Linked DNA regions of Drosophila melanogaster. Changing the gene in region 3 together with the main gene of any one other region gives a genetic interaction. Each region holds a gene or a part of one and is shown on either strand. Other genes may lie near its edges.

Evidence for each region.
Region 1: of mgr (region 3) and Pfdn2, changing one enhances a phenotype caused by changing the other (phenotypic enhancement), as found in Drosophila melanogaster (one study listed by BioGRID).
Region 2: of mgr (region 3) and betaTub56D, changing one enhances a phenotype caused by changing the other (phenotypic enhancement), as found in Drosophila melanogaster (one study listed by BioGRID).

What each region holds. Positions count from the first base shown.
Region 1 is NT_037436.4:11,072,791-11,076,287, forward strand, and holds Pfdn2 (prefoldin 2), read right to left. Parts: upstream 1,599-3,497; 5' UTR 1,457-1,598; coding exon 1,326-1,456; intron 1,222-1,325; coding exon 921-1,221; 3' UTR 502-920; downstream 1-501. Other genes in the region: Mocs1 (molybdenum cofactor synthesis 1), read left to right, coding at 1-367; Noc1 (nucleolar complex protein 1), read left to right, coding at 2,071-2,799, 2,865-2,979, 3,039-3,497. UniProt on the Drosophila melanogaster protein: Binds specifically to cytosolic chaperonin (c-CPN) and transfers target proteins to it. Binds to nascent polypeptide chain and promotes folding in an environment in which there are many competing pathways for nonnative proteins.
Region 2 is NT_033778.4:19,446,669-19,451,276, forward strand, and holds betaTub56D (beta-Tubulin at 56D), read right to left. Parts: upstream 2,932-4,608; 5' UTR 2,743-2,931; coding exon 2,659-2,742; intron 2,079-2,658; coding exon 792-2,078; 3' UTR 651-791; downstream 1-650. UniProt on the Drosophila melanogaster protein: Tubulin is the major constituent of microtubules, a cylinder consisting of laterally associated linear protofilaments composed of alpha- and beta-tubulin heterodimers.
Region 3 is NT_033777.3:11,408,180-11,411,610, reverse strand, and holds mgr (merry-go-round), read left to right. Parts: upstream 1-1,735; 5' UTR 1,736-1,842; coding exon 1,843-1,929; intron 1,930-2,006; coding exon 2,007-2,401; intron 2,402-2,462; coding exon 2,463-2,565; 3' UTR 2,566-2,819; downstream 2,820-3,431. Other genes in the region: Irbp (inverted repeat-binding protein), read right to left, coding at 1-555, 801-1,473; mRpL40 (mitochondrial ribosomal protein L40), read right to left, coding at 2,907-3,225, 3,285-3,431. UniProt on the Drosophila melanogaster protein: Binds specifically to cytosolic chaperonin (c-CPN) and transfers target proteins to it. Binds to nascent polypeptide chain and promotes folding in an environment in which there are many competing pathways for nonnative proteins.

The DNA.
Region 1 (3,497 bases), on a different chromosome or scaffold from region 3:
TCAAGTGGCCAAGGGAGATGTTCTAACCGTAGCCCAAATTGCTGGCATAATGGGCGCTAAGCGAACCGCCGAACTGATACCCCTGTGTCACAACATCAGCTTGTCCTCCGTGAAAGTGCAGGCCACTCTTCTGAAAACCGAACAATCTGTGCGGCTGGAGGCAACCGTTCGCTGCTCGGGCCAAACTGGAGTCGAGATGGAGGCACTAACTGCAGTTTCAGTGGCCGCTTTAACTGTGTACGACATGTGCAAGGCTGTTTCTCACGATATCTGCATCACAAATGTCCGCCTGCTAAGCAAATCCGGCGGAAAAAGGGACTTCCAGAGGGAGGAGCCGCAAAATGGGATAGTTACAGAAGTCGAATAAGTCGAATACCCGACTAACCGGATTAACCACGATACGGGGAATGGAAAATAAACTACTGCTTACTTGATTTAGCCACAAATATTAAATTAAAAGACTTATGAAGCAAGAATACATAAGTGTAAAAATGTAGATGAAATCACTTCCTTATAGGAAACTAATTTGACTAACATACCAATAAAATGTTTCAGAACAAATGGCATAAAAGGGATAAATAATCATATAGTTTATATAGTTTTTGTTTCCAGTCGGTGGATAGAGGTCCATCCATTTTCAGATCTTGAATGAATCACAAGACACATGACTAATTTCAATCGGAAGTTTAAGGTATCTTTAATTCGTGGCCAGAGTGGGTTAAGTTTAAATGAGGGGAATTGATGGATAGTGTTGGTGTGAAGGTGCGATTGGAGGCGTTTCGCGAACTGCGCCTTACAGCTAGAAGTACATACAACATTAGAAGTGTTCAATAAACGCGGATTATCGCTCGCAAATCCTGGCAGAGTTCCCTCTCAACATAGACACAATAAATACGGTGTGGTGAGGTAATCAATCGCTCTCAGTTGAACACCAGGACATTACGGTTCTCCGCCTTGTCCTCCGCATCGTCGCCCTTGGCTCCTTCGGCAACCAAGTGTTCGCCGCGAATCTTGATATTGTGCTCCTCCTTGAACTTGTTCAGCTCACTGCCCTTTTTGCTCAGGTCATTGGTGACCATTTGGATGGTCTTGGCGATGAAATCCTTGTTCTCCACCAGCTGTGGCAGCACCTCCTTCACGGTCCTTTCGCACAGCACACCACCAATTTGACGAAAGCATTTCCGTTCGGGATCCGCCGCCTCCAGAGTTTCTATCACAGTTCTAGGGAGGATAAGGAGTTATGTCATTGTGTCTGCAGGGATTCTCCCACTTGCCCAAAATCACAAACAGACGTGTCATCCATCTTTGGGCCCCCGGTGACTCACTTGTGTTCCCTCAAATCCATTTCGAGCGTATTTAAACTGTTGACCAAATTGCGCTGCTCATTGCGCAGCTGTTGGAACTGGGCCACAATGGCCTCCTGGCTGAGTGCCGGCTTCGCCGATTCGGTGCTCATTGCAATGTTCGCTATCCAAAAGGACCCCTTCGAAATCTAGACCGGGATAATCGCTTCAAATTGGCGATAATCTGCGATTTTCTTTCAAAATACGAGACCGAACACGAGGACTATGCGATAAACGTCCTAACAAATCCCAAGCGCGTCAAGGCAGTAAGACCGTAAATGTATTGTGGAAAAATGGTGTAACGGTAAAAGAAAATATAGCACAACTTCAGTTACTTAAACATAAGTTAATGTAATAATTTATAAATTAATAGTAATTCTATATAAGAATTTCAATTTTATTCTTACTTATAATCAGATTATAATAACTTCAAGCTTTATATAACTTCAAACCCACCTGCTATCAAAAGTCACGGTCATTTCAATGGTAATTACTGAATAATTTATAAATTTTAAAACTAAGTTGGATACTCTCTTATTTAAGATTTTAAATACAAAATTTTAATATCATAAAGACAATGAAATTCGTCACTAAGTAGACGACATACATATGTTGCTTACGTTTCGCGGTGAATGTCATATTTGAATACACGTGCGAGTTGTTTCTAACGCCGTTTATTTTATTTAATGATTTTTATCTAATATATAGCTTTAGAAAATATAAAATCATGCCGGCAGCAGTGGCCACAGGTGTGCAATTCGGTGGACCGCCCAAAAACAAGAAAATCGTGTTCGACGACTCCGGCGAGGCGGTAGTTAAACAAAACAAAAAGGAGCACCCACAAAGGCCAAAATTTGAAGGGAAGGAACAGGTGAAAAAGCCGCAGAAAATTAAGTTTGGAGAGGATGGAAAAGCGAAAGGTGCTAAGTCCTTTAATAAGAACCACCAAAAGCCGGATTTTGCCAACAAACCACAGAGAATAAAGTTCGGCGATGATGGAGAACAAGTAGCTTCCAAGTCGTTCAACCAAAATCATAAAAATGGACCAAAACCACAGAAAATCAAATTTGGAGAGGATAGAGAAGCAGTGCATCAAAAACCTTTCAACAAAAACAACCATAAACATAATGGTCAAAAGTCGGACTTCGCCAATAAACCTCAGAAAATCAAGTTCACTGATGATGGAGAAGATGAAGTAACTGCGAATTCTTCCAACACAAAGACGGAACCGACCAAGAAGTCCCAAAAAATCAAGTTTGGAGATGACGGAGAGTCCAAGGAGAACTTTAAAAAGCCCCAACGAATCAAGTTTGATGAGGATGGAGCTGGAAAAAATGTATCCGACAGCGATGGAGACAGTGATGAGGAACTGGGGGACTCCATTTCCAAAAAGCACAACAAATATCAGTCAAAAATAGATGAAGACGAGGAGTCCCAAAAGAAGTGGTATCATGTGGTATGTTGAAACTAAACTGAAATCGTGGAAATAAATCATTTATAGTTATCACTATCGTATCTTAGCATCCCGACTATCCGTCCACCGATGAGGTGCTGGACATGAAGGAGAACGATCAGCTGGAGCTGTACAATCTCTGCAAGAATTCCTTCGAAGCGGAGAAGATAACTTTTAATAAACGTAAGACTTTCTCGACTCGGAAATTGGAACCCCTACTAATGTTTTTATCTCATCTTTAGGTAATCCCTCGGATGCTCGCTGGTTGCAAACCGCTCTGCACAAGGGTACTGCAAAGGATCGGGCCAATGCGGGCGCCCTTCTGGTGACGAGCAATCCACTGGGCAATTTGGAAGCATTGAGCACTTTAATTGGCTTCTGCAAGATCTCCAACAAGGCCAGCAATGATGTGATTGCAGTGCTCACGGATTTGTGGCAGGAGGTGCTGCTCCCGCCAAACAGAAAACTCCTGGCGGTGCACACACGTGGTGCTGATTGGAAAAAGCTGAAAAAGGATGAGAATTTGCGCAACGAACAGAAGCGCCGCATTTACGCGTACTGGCATTTTGAGAGCGAATTAAAGGATCAGTACCACGAGTTCTTGAAGAACGTTATGCAGGGCCTGCAGACTGGACAGGAACACAATAAGAACTCCTCTATTGTGTCAGCAGCCAGGCTGTTGGCCTATGCTCCCGAAAAGG
Region 2 (4,608 bases), on a different chromosome or scaffold from region 3:
TCATGACTCATTATTTATGACACATGCAAAGTGGATTTTTAAGTTTTGAATAAAAACAAAAAACTTACACTCCAGCTTCATGAAAATCGCGTGTGGGAAACCGTAGCGTTAAGACTACCATAATATATATATATATATATATTAATTAGATTTATTGCATACAAGGCCGTCTGAACCACAATGGTACGTAGGCCCACTTCCTACGCTGAAAATATCATGTCATGTCCTCTTCAAGGGCGAATTACTTTTGTTTATGCAGCATTTGCTCGAAAGTTGAGGTAGGTAGGGCAAATCATTGTCAATAAATAAAAAAGGTCTATAAATAAACTAATGTGAATGAAATTATCAATCATCACAACATAACCATGTCCAAAACAAACACAGCCGGTGAAAAGATTTCTATTGTTTTTAGCTGGGAGAAACCCGATTAAATAAACATAAATTTGTGAATCCAAATAATACAATGAGAAAATGTACAAATACCTCGCTTTTGTCAAAACCTACATTAATGAGCCTATTAACATTTATACCAACACTCTAAACATTAATCAGCTTTCTTGGACTACAAAACGCAGTCTCATAATCCTCGTAAAATGATTGATATCTCTCTTATTAATTATAAGAAACCCCAACAAAAACCATAATTGTTTAGACTTGTGAACAAAATTGGATCCGACTTTATTGATTACGTTGTTAAGAGAACAAATCTTTTACAACTGAATTCATTTGTTCTCGTTTCATTTTTTTTCGCAAAACATTGATCGAGAATTCGATTGATTTCCGATTCGAATTTAGTTCTCGTCGACCTCAGCCTCCTGCTCCTCCTCGAACTCGGCGTCCTCGTCGGCGGTGGCCTCCTGGTACTGCTGGTACTCGGACACCAGATCGTTCATGTTGCTCTCGGCCTCGGTGAACTCCATCTCGTCCATGCCCTCGCCGGTGTACCAATGCAAGAAAGCCTTGCGCCTGAACATAGCGGTGAACTGCTCGGAGATGCGCTTGAACAGCTCCTGGATGGCAGTGGAGTTGCCGATGAAGGTGGCGGACATCTTCAGACCACGGGGCGGGATGTCGCACACGGCGGTCTTCACGTTGTTGGGGATCCATTCGACGAAGTAGGAGCTGTTCTTGTTCTGGATGTTCAGCATCTGCTCGTCGACCTCCTTCATGGACATGCGTCCACGGAAGATGGCGGCGACGGTAAGGTAGCGTCCGTGGCGTGGGTCGCAGGCGGCCATCATGTTCTTGGCATCGAACATCTGCTGGGTCAGCTCGGGCACGGTGAGGGCGCGGTACTGCTGGGATCCTCGGGAGGTCAGGGGAGCGAAGCCGGGCATGAAGAAGTGAAGACGTGGGAAGGGCACCATGTTGACGGCCAGCTTGCGGAGATCAGCGTTCAGTTGGCCGGGGAATCGGAGGCAGGTGGTTACGCCGGACATGGTCAGGGAGACAAGATGGTTCAGGTCACCGTATGTGGGTGTCGTCAGCTTGAGGGTGCGGAAGCAGATATCGTAGAGAGCCTCGTTGTCGATGCAGTAGGTCTCGTCCGTGTTCTCGACCAGCTGGTGCACCGACAGGGTGGCGTTGTAGGGCTCCACAACGGTGTCCGACACCTTGGGCGACGGCACAACCGAGTATGTGTTCATGATCCTGTCGGGGTACTCCTCGCGGATCTTGGAAATCAGCAGGGTTCCCATACCGGAGCCAGTGCCGCCGCCAAGGGAGTGTGTGAGTTGGAAGCCTTGCAGGCAGTCGCAGGATTCGGCCTCCTTGCGGACAACATCGAGCACTGAGTCCACCAGCTCAGCACCCTCTGTGTAATGACCCTTGGCCCAGTTGTTGCCGGCACCCGACTGGCCGAACACAAAGTTGTCGGGCCTGAAGATCTGGCCGAAAGGTCCCGATCGCACAGAGTCCATGGTGCCGGGCTCCAGATCGACAAGGACAGCGCGGGGCACGTACTTGCCACCGGACGCCTCATTGTAGTACACATTGATGCGCTCCAGCTGCAGGTCGCTGTCACCGTGGTAGGCGCCGGTGGCATCGATGCCATGCTCATCGGAGATGATCTCCCAGAACTGCAAATGAGAAATGGAAGTAAAGAATTTGGGATTAGTGCGATTAGGACTTGCAGGTGCTGTACAGCATTTCTTGTGAACATGAGTCAGCAGGAAAATCGATTACTAGGGGGTGTTTTCTAACTCAGTCTTAAGAAAATGTATGAATGACTTGGCCAATGAGTCATCACAGAAAATCAATGGTAGTAAAATTACTCAAAGCCTAGACCATCTGCTGCATACATATATACAGCTAGTATTTATTTGACTGCTTCACATAAATCACAAAAGAAGTTTATGCTTAAGCAACGGTAACTTTTATTTGCACAAGAGTACTGCAGTTGAAGAAAACTTTTACTAATCACTGAAACTCATTTCCAATTCTGCAAGTAATTTGCTTAAAATTTTTCTTCCATACCCAGTGAAAGTTGATGCATGTGAAAGGCAATCTTATTTTCTTGTTTTTCTCTTAACTTATACAGATAACTTCGATACAGAAACCTTCTCGAACAAAATGTGTGATGGGTTATGGAAAGTCAGTCTATATATAACTCTTTATTGATTGGAATAAATGGGCACAAGAAGCAGCCGATGTACATACACATGTCTGGGCTCGGCTACGTGGTTTAGGCCACCCATGTACGCCATCATAAACTCTGTGTATGGGCCGAGCTCCGATTAACATAACTTATTCGCTGCCATTTTTGGTGCGTTTCCACCACCACGACCAGCAGCACCATCGCCACACCAACGATAACGTCATCTGGCGTGGGTTTTCGTTTCGGATCTCGAGGCGCAGCTGTCATTGCGTTCCGCCGACCGATCTTACTCGAATCTTCGGGCGTGGGCTGGAACTGAGCTGTATAACTACTATCTGTCTGTCTGTCTATATGTCTACGTGCTGCCCCCACGCAATGCCGGCGACCTCAGAGCCGGGCTCTGCCACCCCAAAAAGCCCCCCTGCTTCCGATGCGGCTTACATCACCGGTTGTTCGGGTCTCGCGACCCACTCTCGTCTCTGCAAGAGGGAAACGGAGGAGGAGTGGGAGGAGCAGTGGGTACCAGTTGGAGAGAGGCGTTGGCGTTGTCTGTTTGCTGAGAGGTTAAAACTGCAGCTCAGTGCTCCAACTACCGACCATCTGGCGCATAAATCGTCTGTTTTTCAGGGCATTACGTCACCTGAACTTTTTGCGATGGTCGTTGTTTATGTCGCGTAAACAAATAAAAACAATTAACCGAAATAAGTCGCTACACTGGTATTGGAGGAAATGCGTGGTTGACACTCGTTTAGCGAAATGACACCGTCATACCGGATTCTATGTATATAAAGTGTATATATAAATATAGAAATACACATTTGTAAGCCGGTCGGGTCGAAAGCGAGAGAGAGAGATATTGAGAGCCATACTTGGGCACAACAATTCTGATGTTGCAGCTGCTCGGGTTTTAAGGCGTTTCCGAGGGTTGTTTTCGGCTCATGGGCCCATGCCCAGCATGTGGGTATTGATTTTTCGGGCAAGGACTAGAAAGATTCGTCATCATCAACATCACCTTCGTGTCCTGTGCCCCGTTATCCCACACGCATGTGCAGCACCGCCCTTCTCGGTTTCGTTGCTTTTTGTGTGCGAGAGGAAACTGGGATAGAGACAAACAGATGGCAAATTCCTCTATATAAGGTCATCATCTCACCTTGCAGACTCCCAATTCCTACTGCTAAAAGTAAAGTTTCATTTTGGCACATAATGGCCGAAAGAGAACCGAAATCTGTCTATACTATAGTCATGAATAAAAAATAGAAAATTGTTTCATTCCATGATAAGATAGAGAAGCCGCCGAAGTAGCGCAATTTTAAGTAGGGAGCAGAGTGTGGAATGCATGAAAATCAATAGAACAGCTAATGCAGCCTACGAACACATATATCTACATACTTATATCCCATCTACGTATAAGATCAACTCTTATACGTTCTGCGAACCGTTCAACGACGACCGGTTCAGCCATTTTAGGTTAAAATGACGTCATGTTTTCTCTTTAGAAGACGCATAGCGGCAAAAAAAAAAAAATTAAATGAAAAAACCGGCCGACGCTCACACATACAAATGAGCAGCAAGCTCTTATGTGCGTGTAGAAAAGCTATCGTGTTTTGACGATAGAAAAGTACCCTTCACCATCTGGGCAGTGAAATGGCTTTCACAACCGGTGAAAAACTATGAAAGTCTTTCGCCCAAGAGAAAATGACTCATGCATGCAACACGCACACAGGCATACACACAGCCACCAGCGTCGGTGTAATTGCAGACACACCCAACTATAATTACTTACATATGTACATACATATGGGCACGAAGTACATATGCGAATGTCAATGGCCCTAAAGCATTATATCGATCGGAAATTCGGGCGTAACAAACTTTCGTTCTAAATTTTGGACCCCAAATGCCAGAGTAGAACAACAATTTTCAAGCATCTTTGCGAAATCGGACAAATATGCGGTATATACAAACACAGATGCCGGGACTCAAAAAGACCACTCGACACACACACGCACACA
Region 3 (3,431 bases):
GGCAAATGGCAATCTTGTCGCGCACCAAGCATCGTTCCCACAATGCGCGGAACAAGCGCTTCGATCCGATGATGCTCTGATCATCGGGGTACATGAAATTCGCTGGCTTGATGTAGCTAACTTCGGGAAGAGAGGATCGATGCTTGAAGCCCAGCAGCATCATTTGCGGCTTGTGCAGATTGCGCACCCTGTTCAACTGATCCATGCTGATGCGCAGATCCCTTTCGCCCACGTTGCAAGTGTACCAACCGCCCGTCACCTTAATCTGATACTCGTGCTCGATATCCTGCGAGCCATCGTCCTTTTGTTTTTGCACCGTAATCACTCGCTTAGTACGCACCACACTGTTGTCCCTGCGCAGGATTTGCACTTTGCGCGGATAGGCGCGTCGCTGAAAGTAATTGTAGTACTGTACGGACATGGATAGGTTGGGGCCCAGATAAAAACTGAAGTGGCCCAGGCATCGGCGAAGGAAATCCTGCTTCAACTTACGATCGGACAGGATTTCGCGCAGCATCTGGGCATCTGGCACCTGGAAGGCGTCCAGTTCGATAGCTGCAAAAAAGGTCCTCATTAAACATCATCTAGTGTACGGATTGCTATATATTTATTTTATTATTCTTGTAAGCCAATCCAAAACCACGAACCAATTGAGCTTCACTTGGATGCGGGTGAATGATTGCTTATATTTGATCTACGAAGTCTTAAAACCTTTCAGGCGAAAATTGAACGCCAAACAGGGGAACAGACTTCGCACATTAAAACCCATAAGAAATGAATAGCAGACTTAAAGGACTTACCTCTTGACAACGTGATGAACTCCTTGTAAAACGGCTCGTAGTCAAAGTCATCGACCATGGGAATGACATGAAACTCGAACTCCTTGCCCTCCAGATCGCTGGCCTTTTGCAGGGCAGCCTGGAAGTGATTGCTGTTCGATGGATGAGGTTCCCTGACGTCCGTGACATAGGCGATCTTGGCGTTGTTTAGCTTCTTGCCGCACTTTTCCAGCATCTCGATGCAGAGCCGGATCATAAGGTCAAACCTGCCGCGACCATCGGGTTCCGCCAGGCCATACACATCGGCGAACTGCGTCTCCACCCCGCCCATGAATTCCAGATAGTGCTCCACAATGGGTTTGGTTAGTTGGCGAAGGGGCAAGAACACTGCGCAGTTATCCGGCATTACGATGTTGTCCAATGCACTGGCTTCCAGCGGCGGCGGACTGTGCTTGGTGTTGGCGAAGATGAGTCCGATGAGGTCCTTGTCGTTAACCAGAAGTCCGGATATAAAGGCCGTCCGGATGATGTTCAGTGCCTCCAACAGGCGCTCCACGCCGGCTGTCTGAAGATTGGCGTCTACCACGAACAGAATGGCCTCGCGCCCATGGTAGTCCCGCTTCATGGACACATCCTCCTCGTCCTCGGACCCAGACAGCAGGTCCACATCGTTCTCCGGATTCCAGGTGCTCATTATGCGGCTTCTTTAGATTGCTAAAAATCTGACTTTCCGCTAATTTCACAAGAAGGCGGGCGCGCTTATCGTCGCTGTTGTTATCGATTGAGCTAGGGATGAGAGTCACGAAGAGAATTGATATATATTTAAATTTATTTAGACATTATTTAATGTTTTTAACATATTATATTATCCCAACGTTTATTTATATAATTATTTTAATATAAGTTAGTTTTACATTTTTATACGAAGTTGACCACCACCTTTCGATGACAGCCATTCAATCGATTGTTCCATCGCAATTTTGACTCATCGACTTTTACAGCGGCAGGCTGACCTCCTGAAAATTAAATTGCATTTGTAGACGGCACGGCTGAAGGCAACAGGATGACAGGAATAATGGACTCGGTGGAAATGCCCAAATTACCGGAAAACCAGAAGACCTTCGCCGGCATCCCGGAGGCAGTGTTCCTGGTGAGTGGTCCTAACCTACAAGCGTGCACCTGCAGCTGGACACTGCAGGCTAATTCGTGGTTCTTGGGCCCTTGCAGGAGGAGATCGACACCTTCATGTCGCAGCCGGAGAACGAAAATTGCGAAAAGGTGCTGCAGCGACTGGACGAGCAGCACGGCAAGTATCGATTCATGGCCTGCAATCTGGAGGCGCGGCGGCGCAAGTTGAAGTCTCAAATTCCGGACCTGGAGCGCTCCCTGGAAATGGTCAATGTGCTTCGCAAGGAGGACGAGGAGCGCGAGACGCAATTCCTGCTCAGCGACCAGGTGTTCATCAAGACACTGGTGCCGCCCACGAAAACAGTATACCTCTGGCTGGGGGCCAGCGTGATGCTGGAGTATCCGCTAGACGAGGCGGAGGCTCTGCTGAACCAGAACATCACATCGGCCGTGGGCAACCTAAAGTCCGTGGAGCACGATCAGGATTTTCTGAGGTCAGTTCGAGTGCTGTTATTCAAGTTACTTGTTTTATTGTATTATAAATGTATATTTTAGGGATCAAATCACAACTACGGAGGTGAACATGGCGCGGGTCTACAACTGGGGCGTGAAAAAGCGGCAGGCCGCTACCAAGACCACCGCCACTACCCCATCCTAAGGAGACCCACCCAAATCCCATCCCAAGATCAACATCGGTAGCAGCCACTCGCATCTTATTTATTTCGACAGTACACCGCAAGGGCTCGGCAGGCGATTCCACCTGGCTTATTCTTGTTCTCCACTGATAGCAATAAAACCGCCACACAAACGCATCAAGCTGACTCCAAACGAGATGCCTATTCCGGAGGAATGTAATATTTTAATTTGGCTACGGGCATTTAACTGCATGTAAACCGAATAAACGGCGAACGCAATTCATTGAGAGTAAAGCCGAATTCACAAATCATAGGATTAGGGTTCAGTTTATTTCAAATCTTTAACATCCGGAACTTACACGCCTCATTTGACCTCCCACTTCATGGATTGGTGCAGGTAGTCGCCATCGGGACTGACGTAATCCTTAATGGGGGGCGTGGCAACGGGTCCTTTGACGGCGACGGGCAGCAGCTGGGGATCGATATCGATGGCCGCCTGGTAGAGCTCCTCGGACTCGCGCCGAAGTTCCGCCAGCGCCTTGTTTTGCGCCTGGACCAGCCGGTCGATGATCTGAAAGTCTGCTACGCGCTCGTCGTGCTTGTAGTGCGCCCACTGCTTCTTGAGGAGAGCACGTTCCTCCAACTGGTCGATGGTCAGTGGAGCTAGCTTCCGCTGCCGTTTGCTGAACGATAGGATAGCATTACATCTCAGCATATGAGGGAAACCCGTATGAGAACCTACTCCTTTTCGTCGATGAGCTCCAGTGGAACCTCCAGTTCATCCACGGGCTTCAGCTGACGGGCATTCTTCTCCAGCCGGCGAATCTGCTTTTCGATCTTCTTCTTCTTGCGATCCTCGCGCTGCTTGACAATCTGCGGATCCAGTTTC